Linked DNA regions of Canis lupus familiaris. The protein of the gene in region 1 purifies or fractionates together with the protein of each later gene. This does not show direct contact. Links are inferred from orthologs where the notes say so. Each region holds a gene or a part of one and is shown on either strand. Other genes may lie near its edges.

Evidence for each region. The genes of interacting proteins can lie anywhere in the genome.
Region 2: the proteins of ASXL2 (region 1) and OGT purify together in Homo sapiens (affinity purification with mass spectrometry; 3 studies listed by BioGRID and IntAct, with this or other methods). This does not show direct contact. The link is inferred for Canis lupus familiaris from reciprocal best matches to the Homo sapiens genes ASXL2 and OGT.

Annotation. Positions count from the first base shown.
Region 1 is NC_049238.1:20,105,943-20,111,854, forward strand, and holds the start of ASXL2 (putative Polycomb group protein ASXL2), read right to left. Parts: upstream 3,924-5,912; 5' UTR 3,737-3,923; coding exon 3,680-3,736; intron 1-3,679.
Region 2 is NC_049260.1:56,015,693-56,021,391, reverse strand, and holds the start of OGT (UDP-N-acetylglucosamine--peptide N-acetylglucosaminyltransferase 110 kDa subunit), read right to left. Parts: upstream 3,991-5,699; coding exon 3,954-3,990; intron 1,149-3,953; coding exon 968-1,148; intron 99-967; coding exon 1-98. UniProt on the Homo sapiens protein: Catalyzes the transfer of a single N-acetylglucosamine from UDP-GlcNAc to a serine or threonine residue in cytoplasmic and nuclear proteins resulting in their modification with a beta-linked N-acetylglucosamine (O-GlcNAc).

The DNA of each region.
Region 1 (5,912 bases):
CAGATGCCCCCATTATACTTTTAATTACTTCCATTATCTATACTTCCTACACAAAAGTAATTAGCCTCTGATTACTACTTTAACAGAAATTTTCTATCTTCTTTCCATCTTATTCCCCAAAGGTAAATGACTTTAGGTAAATGACAAAAATAAAAATCTATGTACATTCAAAACAGTATTAATCATTTAGAGAAATCTATATAGATATAGTATCCCCCTGCACTCCCGCCACCACCAAAAAACTTTTTCTTCAGTCTACAAACCATATGCTAAAGATTTACAGGACTGCTGTGCTCCTCACCTCTAACACCCATACTTCTCACCCTCACTTTATTCCCAAGATATTCAAAAGTACCTCTAGCATACAATCTCTAAGGTCTGCTTCTGTCCCTTCCACCTACAATCACAAGAAACTTACCCTTTTAGGACACTTTTCCCTTTTAATGCCTCCCTAGCTGTGGTGTTAACAAGGTAAAGTCAAAGGAGAAAACAGGGTCAACAAGTTTGTACTATTTCAAAATATCTGCTTTGCAAGAACATCTAAATTTCTCAAGGATGTCATTAAATATTTAGATGATATAAGGGTTCTGATGGGGTTTTTTGCTTTGTTTTGTTTAAAGAATGAGCATAACTTTCCAAACAGTTCTAAAATCAGTGTAATGGTTTTTAAGTTCTCTGGCTTACTACAAATTTTTCTATTCAAATTGCACCAAACACTATACTACAGATCTAATTCCAAATCATTGCATCACCATCACTGCCACCCCTAAAATTTAAAACATGTGACACTGTTAACAAATACTTGAAAAATGCTTTTTATAACTAGTGTATTAATACAGGGCAATTATATAAGATCAGTAGGGAGATGGTCCAGTGTAATGAGCATTCAAGTTCTGTGGAATCTCAACTCCATTCTCCCTTTCTCTGGTGTTCTTAGTTATTGGAATCAGTCTATATACTCTATATTTAATCAGCCTTTTAGCATAATTTTACTATCATATAATAATTATGAATATTATCTTCATATTTCAGATTGTCCATAATAATCTTATATCAATTCATGTAACTCTCACACATCCACACACATACCCTCCACATCAAACAGGTACATATACATATATAATCTTGTTTATTTACCTGTTGCTATGCTATTGGTCAGAAATACAATCCGATTTTATTTATTTATTTTTATTTTTTTATTTTTTTACAATCCGATTTTAATAGTGCTCCCTAAAACAGGACAGCTCTACAATGCAGGTGCCAAGAACACAATGAAATAAGCAGCAGATATTGCTTGTTTTCGTAAATAATTTTATTCTTTCCTTGCTGAAACTCTGTCCTTAGAATATTTGACCTTAATGCCTATGAAAAAAGTTTAAGACATACTTCTAGTCTTCTTGATGTTATAATTATATGCAACACTTCTTAATTTAGGTCAAAGTTAATTTTCTGATCTCATTATTCTGAAATATTAATATTTCAGAATATTAATATTAATTTAATTAATATTAATTTTCTGATTTTCTGATCTCATTATTCTGAAATATTAAAGATTTACTTGTATCTAGTCCCTCTACATTTACTTCTAAATAGTTCTTCCTACAAATAGAAATCTTTTGAATACAGAGGTTTAGTTTAAATCTTCACTTTATATAGATGATAAAACAAACCAAAAAGAGCAGGATGTTTTCTACATTTTGGCTACTAGAAAAAAAAAAGTTTTAGTGTCACAATCCTAAAATTCATTTTTACTTAGATTGAGGCCTTACATTTGCAAGAACCAAATAAAAATACCAACCCACTAATATACTGATCCTTTCAAGAACTCAGTCCTCTTCTTATTAAACTAGCCTCTCCCTCTTCTAGATACTATTTTTCACATAGCTAGCTAGGCAGGAAATGTTTATTATAAATGAACAAATATGTTAATCTATTATAGGAAAATCTAAACACCAGATGCAAATTTTACCTACTTGTCACAATCGCCTAATAATTAGAGAATTTTATTCAAAGAGATCACAATTCAAAAGTACTCAAGATTGTAGAGACGTAATTAACATAATTGGGATTGTGGTCTGCCTAACTATAAAATTTGTCATTTTTTTAATAAAAAGCAAAAGTCTTGAGGTATTCATCAAGTAGAAGAAAGTGTAACAGCCTTCTGTGAAGGAGCAATTTCCTCAAAACCAAAAAAATTATTTCTAGAGTTTAGTCTTTTAGAAGGAAACTATCAGCACAGTCACAATTATGAAGAGAGATTAGATTGTTGTTAAGTGAAAACACTCAATAAATAAAATGTGCTTTTATTTATTCACTAACTTTTTCACATTTCCAACTAAAACAGAAATACAAGCTTAAGACTCATCAATCCCCTATCACAACAAATTTACAAAACAAATGCACAAGGTTTACAAAAATGCACAAGATTGAATAAACACAGGATCCAAATGTGGGGAAATAAAAAAGACTAAGTGGTAATATAACAAAACATTTTAACAGATAAAACTGAGAGGTGAGATGCGTGATTTCTTATTTTCTTCTTTATACGCTCCTATAATTCTCCAAATTTTCCCACAGTTAACATTTATTACTTTCATAATCAGAAAAAAACTCATTAAAAAAAAAATAAGCCGTACATCTTATAATAAAGGTTCATTTAGAAAGGTTCTCCACATTATACAAGTATTACTGACATGATTCACCATTAAAGATAACGTCTCCACACTTTCTCACTTTCCAACACGAAAATGCGGTTTTATGTCCTATTACTTTTCTCCTGCATCTCCTAATGTTTCATTTCTACATACGTACACGCTCTTCATTTTTTTCATGCAACACATTGGAAGTCTCAAGGACCACGTAAAACCCACCTCTAAACTTCGTTATAAAAAAATTAAGGCGGGGGCCGGGGAGGAGGAAGGTTTTACCCGCTAATTACAACTTCGTGAACCCATCACTAGCTACGGAAAAAAAAAAAAAAAAAAGTCAAGGCCGGGTAAACTACACGTCCCACCATGCATTGCTGCCTTGTTCAGAGTAGATCTCTACGGAAACAGAAAAAAAAAAAAAAAATTCTACAAGTCCCACCTGTTACTTCGTTTCTAAACACCTCCTGCACTTTCAGCTTCAACAGCAAAACAAAAACAAGAGCCTCGTGACCTCGCGTTGGATCCGGGAGCCCAGACGAGCAGGGGACCCGGGGTCAGGCGGCATGTCTGCTATAGCGGGTAAATTCTACCAAGATCCAGCGCTCCTCTCTTCTTTCCGGGGCTGAGTGCACGCACAAGCCTTCTCCTATCTGCATCCAATGGGGGGCTCTTCAGCCGCACAAGGGAGAAGAACCGGTTACTGTGCAAGCACAACAGACTTCCCCATGCCGGGGCGGGAGCTACCACAGAGTGGAGGTGAGAGCGACATGACCCCGAACGGCCAGCTTCAAAACACCAAGGGGACTCGTCGCAGACGCGGGGAGAAGCCACAGCCCCGCGGCGACCGTCTTCCGCTGGGCGCCTCCATGCCCACCGGGATCACCACCCCGACACTAACCGCCGCCCTCTCCGCGCGGTTTTGTGCCCCCTTCAGCCGGGTCGCTGGGCCAATGACCTCCCTTCCCCTGCGACCGGCAGGCGGCGAGGGAACGAAATTCTCCCGGGCTTCCCCTTCGCTCCCTCCCCCTTACCGTCTTGGCGGCCTCCGCCCAGGTCCTGCCCTTCTTCCTACGGCCCTTTTCCCTCATGTCGGGTCTTGAACTGACTGGGAGGCTCCCGTGTCCGGGCTCCGGCCGCCCTCCCTGCCTGCTCTGCCCTGCGATGCTTTTCCCGCGGTGCCGGGAAAGGTGGGAGAAAGGGGAAGTCAGGCCGGAGGAGCACCCAAGCAGAGGAAGCGGCGGGGGTGGTGCGCGGGAGGGGGGGGGCGGGGGTCTATGGGGCGGCCGGTCCTCCTGCTGCCGTTGCCACTGCTACCGCCGCTGCCATATTGGGTCCTTACTGTACAGGCAGCCGCTATGGTCACGTGACCGCTCCCGCGCGGCCGTCACTACTGTACGCAGCCAGCCGCGCGAACGTGCGCGCGCCCCCGCCTCCCGCGCGGGGCTGCGGGACGAACGAGCCGGCGGTCCGCGGCGTCTCGTCACTCCCCCGCCCTTCCGCTCTCCGCCTAGCCTTCGGAGCATGCGCGGCGGGGGGCGGGGGAGGTCCGACGCTGCCGTGCGTCGGGCGTCCTGCGCTCACGCCTCCAGCGAAAATCGGCCTGCGGAAGCGGAAGTGGGTCCCTCCCGGAAGGCTTATTGAGCGGCGCCTGACCTCGTGCTGGGCGCCGCGGTGGGGATTGAGCCGTGCAAGAGCTCAAGGTGCGGCCCTCCTGGCTGTCGCTTTATCAGTACGCGTCGTACTTGTGTTTTTTCGTTTCTCCGTGCTCAGTTTTACAAAGGTCATCTTTGACGATTTGCAGCAGTTCTTATATGCAGGTTAACCGATTTCCATAGATGAGAGACAAGTGACTCGCCAAGGACACAGTCCACGACGTGGGGAAACCGGGAATCAGATCGCCAGCCCAGAGCCCTGTTTTGAGCCCCCACGATGCCTCTCAAACTTAGATGATTACCCCCCCAACCTTTTTTTTTTTTTTTCATTAAAGGCCACTAGGGGGGAGGAGGGGGGGTGACTGGGTGGCCGGCACTGAGGGGGGCACTTGACGGGATGAGCACTGGGTGTTATTCTGTATGTTGGCAAATTGAACACCAATAAAAAATAAATTTATTATTAAAAAAATAAATAAAGGGCACTAAGCTTTTTCAAGTGGAGAGGCTCATAAAGGACCCAAATGGTGTCTGTCTTATCTTGGTGAGGCATCCAGTAAATATTTGCTGAAGATTCAGCTACGTCTGTGGTCAGAAATCAGGGGCGCCCGGGTAGCTCAGGTTAAGGGACAGCTCAGGACGTGATCCCAAGATCCAGGGATCCAGCCCCAGGTCAGGTTCCCTGCTCAGTGGGGAGCCTACTTCATCTCCTCCCTGTTCCTCGTCTCTCTTGCTATCTCTCTCTCTAAAATAAAAAATAAAATCTTTAAAAAAAAAAATTATTGTTGGTAGTGTCCATCACAGCTTCTTGATCCAGAATGTGGCATCTTCTGTCGTGTTTTTATACTTTGAAAAGTAAAAAAAAAAATGTGGATCCCTGAGTGGCTTAGCGGTTTGGCACCTGCCTTTGGTCCAGGGCGTGATCCTGGAGACCCGGGATCGAATCCCACGTCGGGCTCCCGGTGCATGGAGCCTGCTTCTCCCTCCTCTGCCTCTCTCTCTGTCTCTCATGAATAAATAAATAAAATATTTTTTTAAAAAGTAAAAAAATATAGTAACCCCTCCTGTTCTCCAAAATAATCTGCTTCAAGAAGTTACTTGAGATCTAGTTTAGTAAACTTAGCCCCATACTGTATTCTAAAATAGGACTGAGAGTTAAGCTGCCTCTTGGGAGTAAAAACAGGAGAGAGCAATATTTAACTTGGAGTCCAGGGTTTGGTTTCAGAATTTCATGGACCCCTAAAATTATGAACAGTATTTTGTGTATAATTATGCATTTTTGAGAAAAGGATTCAGGACGCTCCTGGCTGGCTCAGTCGGTGGAGTATGTGATTCTTGATGTCTGGGTATAACGAGTTCCAGCCCCGCATTGTCGTGGAGCCTACTTTAATTTTTTTAAAAATTAAAGAGGATTTATAGCTTTTCCTCAATTTTTCAAAAGGGCTATTACACAAAAAAAGTATTAATAGGGAGTTTGAGAGGCCATCTGGATACTTCATTATATTTCTCCTTCAGTCATTGATCAAACAGCTGCATAAGAGCAATTGACATGGGTATATTTTCACAAATCCTTTCAGTAACTCATAGTACTATCCATAGCACTGAAGCAACATAT
Region 2 (5,699 bases), on another chromosome or scaffold:
GCAACTGCCCTCTTTCCTTGTACACATTCCCCAAATTCGAATAGGCTTCTGCCAGAAGGGGGTTCTGTTTAATTGCCAGAGTGCTAAAGTGAGCAGATCTGGAAAAAGCGAAGAAAATTGTTGACACATGGGTATGCACGTTACAAAAAGAAGGTATGGCCCATAAGCAACTAAGTTTCTGAAGCTCCTGCGCCATCACTGCTAACTGTATAACAATACATTATCTTTTAGCTACTGTATAGTAGGAAAAATTTTGGAAATCAAAGTTTTTCAAAAGTAGGGGTATCCCAGATCTCAAATTGGAATTCTTTTTCCTTAGGAGATAAAATCTTATTAAAGTTTTCTTACCAAATTGCCACATTGTAAGGCATAAACACTAAGATCAAGAATGAAAATGCTATGTGCGTGATCCTTTTTACATTTGTTGATAAAATGTAATGACACTCATCTTCAAATGTTTAAACAAGCCAGAATGGCAATTTATTAAAAGGATAAGAACACAGATTCTTCCCTTTTGATTAATTCAACTGATTAGCTAAAAGTAGTATATCATAATGATGTGTGGATTTGCAATTTGAACCACATATGCACCTCCTACCACAGCAATATATACCATCATTTCTGAGCATTTCCATTTCTCAAGCTGACACATCTTACAAAGGTGAGACTGGATGCTCAGATATATACTAAGAATAATTTATTACCTAAACAGAGTTAAGAAGGCAAATGTAGGTGGAAAAATCTAGAAAAGGTCCCTTGTCATACTGATAATATAACCATCACCACAAAAGAAGGGGAGAAAAACTGGCAGCTGGGCATGTCACAAGTGGGCAAAGAGCAGATGTGCGTTGGTGGCTCAGTTAGCAACCTAGTACCAAAAAATTTCAAGTTCAAATATTTAAGTATCATTTTTTAAGCTCAGCACCCAGAGGCAGCAATCACCAGCAGGTACCCCCACATCTCCTACCTGTCCAGCCTTCGACACTGGAAGTGTATAGATGAAAGTAATAAAAGCACACCAGTATTGTCTGGCTCTTGTCTCCAGAGCTGCATGCAGTGTCTCTCTGCTGCCTCAAAATCTCCTGCCTGATATTCTCGATGTGCCAACTCAGCTAACCCTTGGAAGGAAAGCATACGTTTCGTTGGTTCTGGAGAATCATCAAAACATTTGAGGGAAGGAGGGGGGAAAACAAAAAGTTAGAAATGCCAACAAAAAAATGTAAAAATATGGTATATTAAACTTAAAGATGAAAACGCTTGAAACTATGTAAAGCACTAGAGTGTTCTGCACGTTATTTATACCTCCAAGTTAACATCAGGTGCAGAATTGGCATTTTTAGAATACACCATTAACTTTTCTTTCCCAGACTAGATAAAAACACTTCCGAATAAGATTACATTTTATGAACAAAAATACTTTGTACTTTTAAATTATATATAAGTCAGAAGGAGTATCTGAAGATCACTAAACATTATTCCCTATACCTTAGTTAACACACAGAAACAAAATATAAAACGTGATTTGCAAGGTCACAAAGACTTAATGTCAGAATATCCTACTGGAAACATAATACTCTGTCACATGTTTCAGGTTGGATTTGTGGGGGGGGGGTGGGATATTGGTAACAATCTCTCTTTTAACCTGAGAGAGCACCAGATGCCTTTTAACTCTTAAAATTACACCTATTATTTGTAGATTTCTCAATTTAATTTTTTAAATTAAGGGATATACTAGAAGCCAGCATAAGAGGGGGGGGAAACTCTAAAAGTCAAGGTGCTATTTTTAAAACAGCTGATAAGATAAATTAGTCTCTCAAGAACCAAAATACTTGAGGGATCATCAAACGTTTTAAATAAAGACCCAAGATTATACTGCTCCTCTATTATCCCAAATTCATGGTGGAGACCAAATTAGCTAAATTCCACCCACGCTGGTTTAAGACGAGCATTTTCCAAAAAGCTCTGACACTAAAAGGATTAAGACATTGCAAACAACCCTATATAAACCAGTTACCTACAACTGCAATGATTTTTAAGAATGGGAAAATGCTAAAATATAAAACCATTCGATAAAGTGGGACAGAATGAACAACAAATGAAAAACACTTTGCTCTGTGTAAGTGACTTAATTCAAATTCATAATGAGAAAGCGTATAGCTAAAGCCCAGAGACTGCGAGTAAAACAACAGACTGCCTAAGTTTCCACTGTAAACACTTAAACAGTGATATATTACTAGGAATTTGACCATAGCACTTTCATTAGAAGTTTGGAATAGGAAACCATGTACAAATTATTTAAATTCTACCAAGGTCACAGTGACAAGTCAAATTTGAGCCTTGCTCCCCAACCCTTAGGGCTGGCAAGTGATCTGTATACTCAGGAAAGCAAAGTAAATTTCCTGACAGAATGTAAAGCTGACCACTACACAAGAGCAGACTCCCATCCAAATCCGGGTAAAGTTTCTCAAATAGAAACTAATGAATTAATCACATTTTAGACAAATCTCTTAACTTCCTAGCTCCTCGTTTTAACACATAACTTTGTCAACTTTTCAAAGCCCCTTATTTGATAATATCAACACCTGAAATGACAACGTCCTCAAACAAAATACACACAGAAAAGGACCAGCTAGTACAAAATCTTCCATCTTTAAGGATCCCTGGCAGAAATGAGAACACAAATTATAAATCCCACTACCCACAATCTCACATAAGATGCAACTGAAGATTCGCCTACTACTTACTGCACAATGTCCACAAATACTAAAACCCTTGATATGTCTCAACTGAGAAACAACAAAATAACCTCGTGAGAAACCTAAGAACCGCAGCCCAGTTCCCCCCCGCTCCTTCCGCCCCAAATAGCCTCAATATGGAAAGGCAGCTGAAGGACACTCCTATAATTTGTTTCTCTTATTTTTAGTAGAGAATGCTCTCGATTGAATTGTCTAAAAGGGCAACCGCCTTGCACTTGTGCAGCTACACTCCAGTTGCTTTACAAACTCTTCAAGCAGGGATGAAAACTTAAAAAAATACACACCCTATGAATAAAGAGATACTAAGCTAAAGAATGGGGATGGAAGACCCAGAGGCGGCGGCGGAGGAATACAGGGAGAAAGTAACACAAAGCAGGCATTCGGCGGGCAGGGTGGTCAATGCCCAGGCACCAGCTAAGCTCCAGCATGGTTTCTCCCCAAAGGGTAGGAAGTGGACCGCAGGGCTGGCAACCTCGCGAAGGGAAGGGTGTGGTTCCCCGCGGGAGGGGAGGAAAGACAGGATGGGAAATCCAGGCTGGGGGCAGCGGGTAGAATCGGGCGATGGCAAAAGGAACCCCTGGAAATTTCCAATCTAAACCGGGGCCGCTCGACAGAAGGAACACCAAAAAGGCGATGCTTAGCGGGGTGTTGCTCAGTATCCCCTCTTCTCGAGATTACTTACAGCACACCAAAGAGCTTTTGCTCGTCCTCGGGTGATGCAAAGTGAGGACATGATTACACCGGAATGGCACCCCCGCCCGAGACTGACAGAGAAGAACCAAATCCGGCTAAGGGGAAAGGGCTGGACGGGGGTCGGGAGGGCAGAGAGGTGGGGACGGTGGCCTGAATGAGGGGAGAAAACTGCTGCGAAGGAGAGTGAAAGGGCAGAGATTCCAATGCAGTCCATTCCGAGACATTCTAAGAGCACACGTGTGATAGAAGCGTCCCGAAAGAGTAGGAAGCTAGAAAATTGATGGGATTAAACAAGAAAAAAATGGAAGCAGAAAGGAAGCAAGAATGAGGAAATGTACAAGGAGCGGACGACAGAGGAAAACCCAAAAACAGATGCCGGTAGACGACGGAAAGCTCAGCAATGCCACTGATGTAATGAGGATGGCCGGGGGAAGGAAGGGAGTGATGAGAGAACGGCGCGAGACCCCAACAGGGCATCTGCCAAGGTAGAACGGACACCGGTACCTGTGCTGTCGGCCACGTTGCCCACGGAAGACGCCATCTGGAGCTTCTTGAGAACGAGAGGAGGGTAATTGACCCGCTGCCGCCACTACTGGCAAGAATGTTTCTGGAGGTAGTAGGAAGAGGGCGGCAGCCGTACCAGTGTTTTGGCAGGCCTAAGAGGCGGCAGCAGTCACAGGTTTCGAACCTTAGGAACTCTGGTTGGCCATCTACCTCTCACGGTCTTGAAATGGCGGCGACGGCTCCTCGGCCGAAACAACACGGGCCGGAACTACTTTCTGTTACAATCAAGTACCAGCGCGGAAGTAGCGCGGTAACCAGCGCTACCGACAAAATGACTATAATCAAAGTCGCTAGCTCTCGTGTAACCTTCCGCCCAGGGCCCATTGCGACAAACACGATTGTGTCGAGAGCGCATGCGAGCAACTCTGTCAACCCTACTGGCGCTTAGGACACTGGCTGGGGCAGGAGCGGCCAAGTTTTTCAATAGCGAAGCGGAGGGTTAAATAACTCCGTCTATACGACGGGAATATTTTTGTCGGAGTTGTTATAGTCTGTTGCCTAGCCGGTAATGTAGATTTTTCATATCAGTGCCAGAGGCGTCTAAAATATTTCATCAACTTTATTCAGGTAAAAATTGATAGTTACAGGGTCGAGGGATCAATCTGAGCAAGTGCATTTAAAGGTTTATATTTCAAAGACTGAGCTGTTGTTCAAAATGATGGCAGAGAAGGTTATAATTTGACGAGTCTTAATTCTGATTCCAGACACTGGTTTTAAGCACTTTTGATGAAAAACACTGATACTTTCACAGGGCCAAGTGAACCCAGACATCTCAGATCGCACCCATATAGTCCGAAATTTCAAAATCATCTGGGTGTTCAGTGTAGTTCCTCCCACAGCATTAGGGCAAATGCTTCATAACTCAGGGACATGCTGAGAGTTTGTATTCCAAAGGCAACCATAAAAAAATTTTAAAGATGATTCGTATTCGTCAAAATCCTTGACTCTCTCCTGAGTCTTAACTTTACTGCCACCAGATAGCTTTGTATATACTAACCATCAATGATTCCATTTAGCTCAAAGCAGTTCAACAATGACAGTTGAATTCACTTGCTAACTACCTAAAACCACACATCCAGATTGAGTCTGAATTGCCTCCACTTCCCTGAACAAATCAACTCTTAAATTCTCATAGTTTCAAGCCCATTGTTCAGATATTTTGTAACACTGGTATTAATATATATCTCCTTGCAGAAAGGATTTAAAGTAACTTGCCACATCAGCAAGAAATTATTATAAGCCCATGGAGGGAACAAGTTGGATCTCTCAGAGCGTTTTTATTAAAAAAAAAAAAAGTTATCCTTGATCTCAGAAAACAGGTCAGTGAATTTCTTCAAAACGTTTCTACTACCCAGTCATTTGACTATGATAAATAAATTAAAAAATCTAAAAACCCACCTAAGCCCTCGAGTTCTACTTCAGTTTCTTCAAAACAGTTCACAAGCTGTTCATTACATTTGTGAATGCAGAGAAAATTCATGAAAATTTCTTCCATCACATCCGATGATTAATAGTCACATGCAGGGAAAAAGACAACGTTCCCTACACAAACTCTCTCTAGAAATTGGGTACCAACCTCTTCTCTCAAATTGATTTAACTGGGAACACCTTTTTGCTCCCTTCTCCTTGCAGATGCCCCATCTGTGGCGAATAAATTCAGCTTTTCAACTTTTAGAACAGATTTCT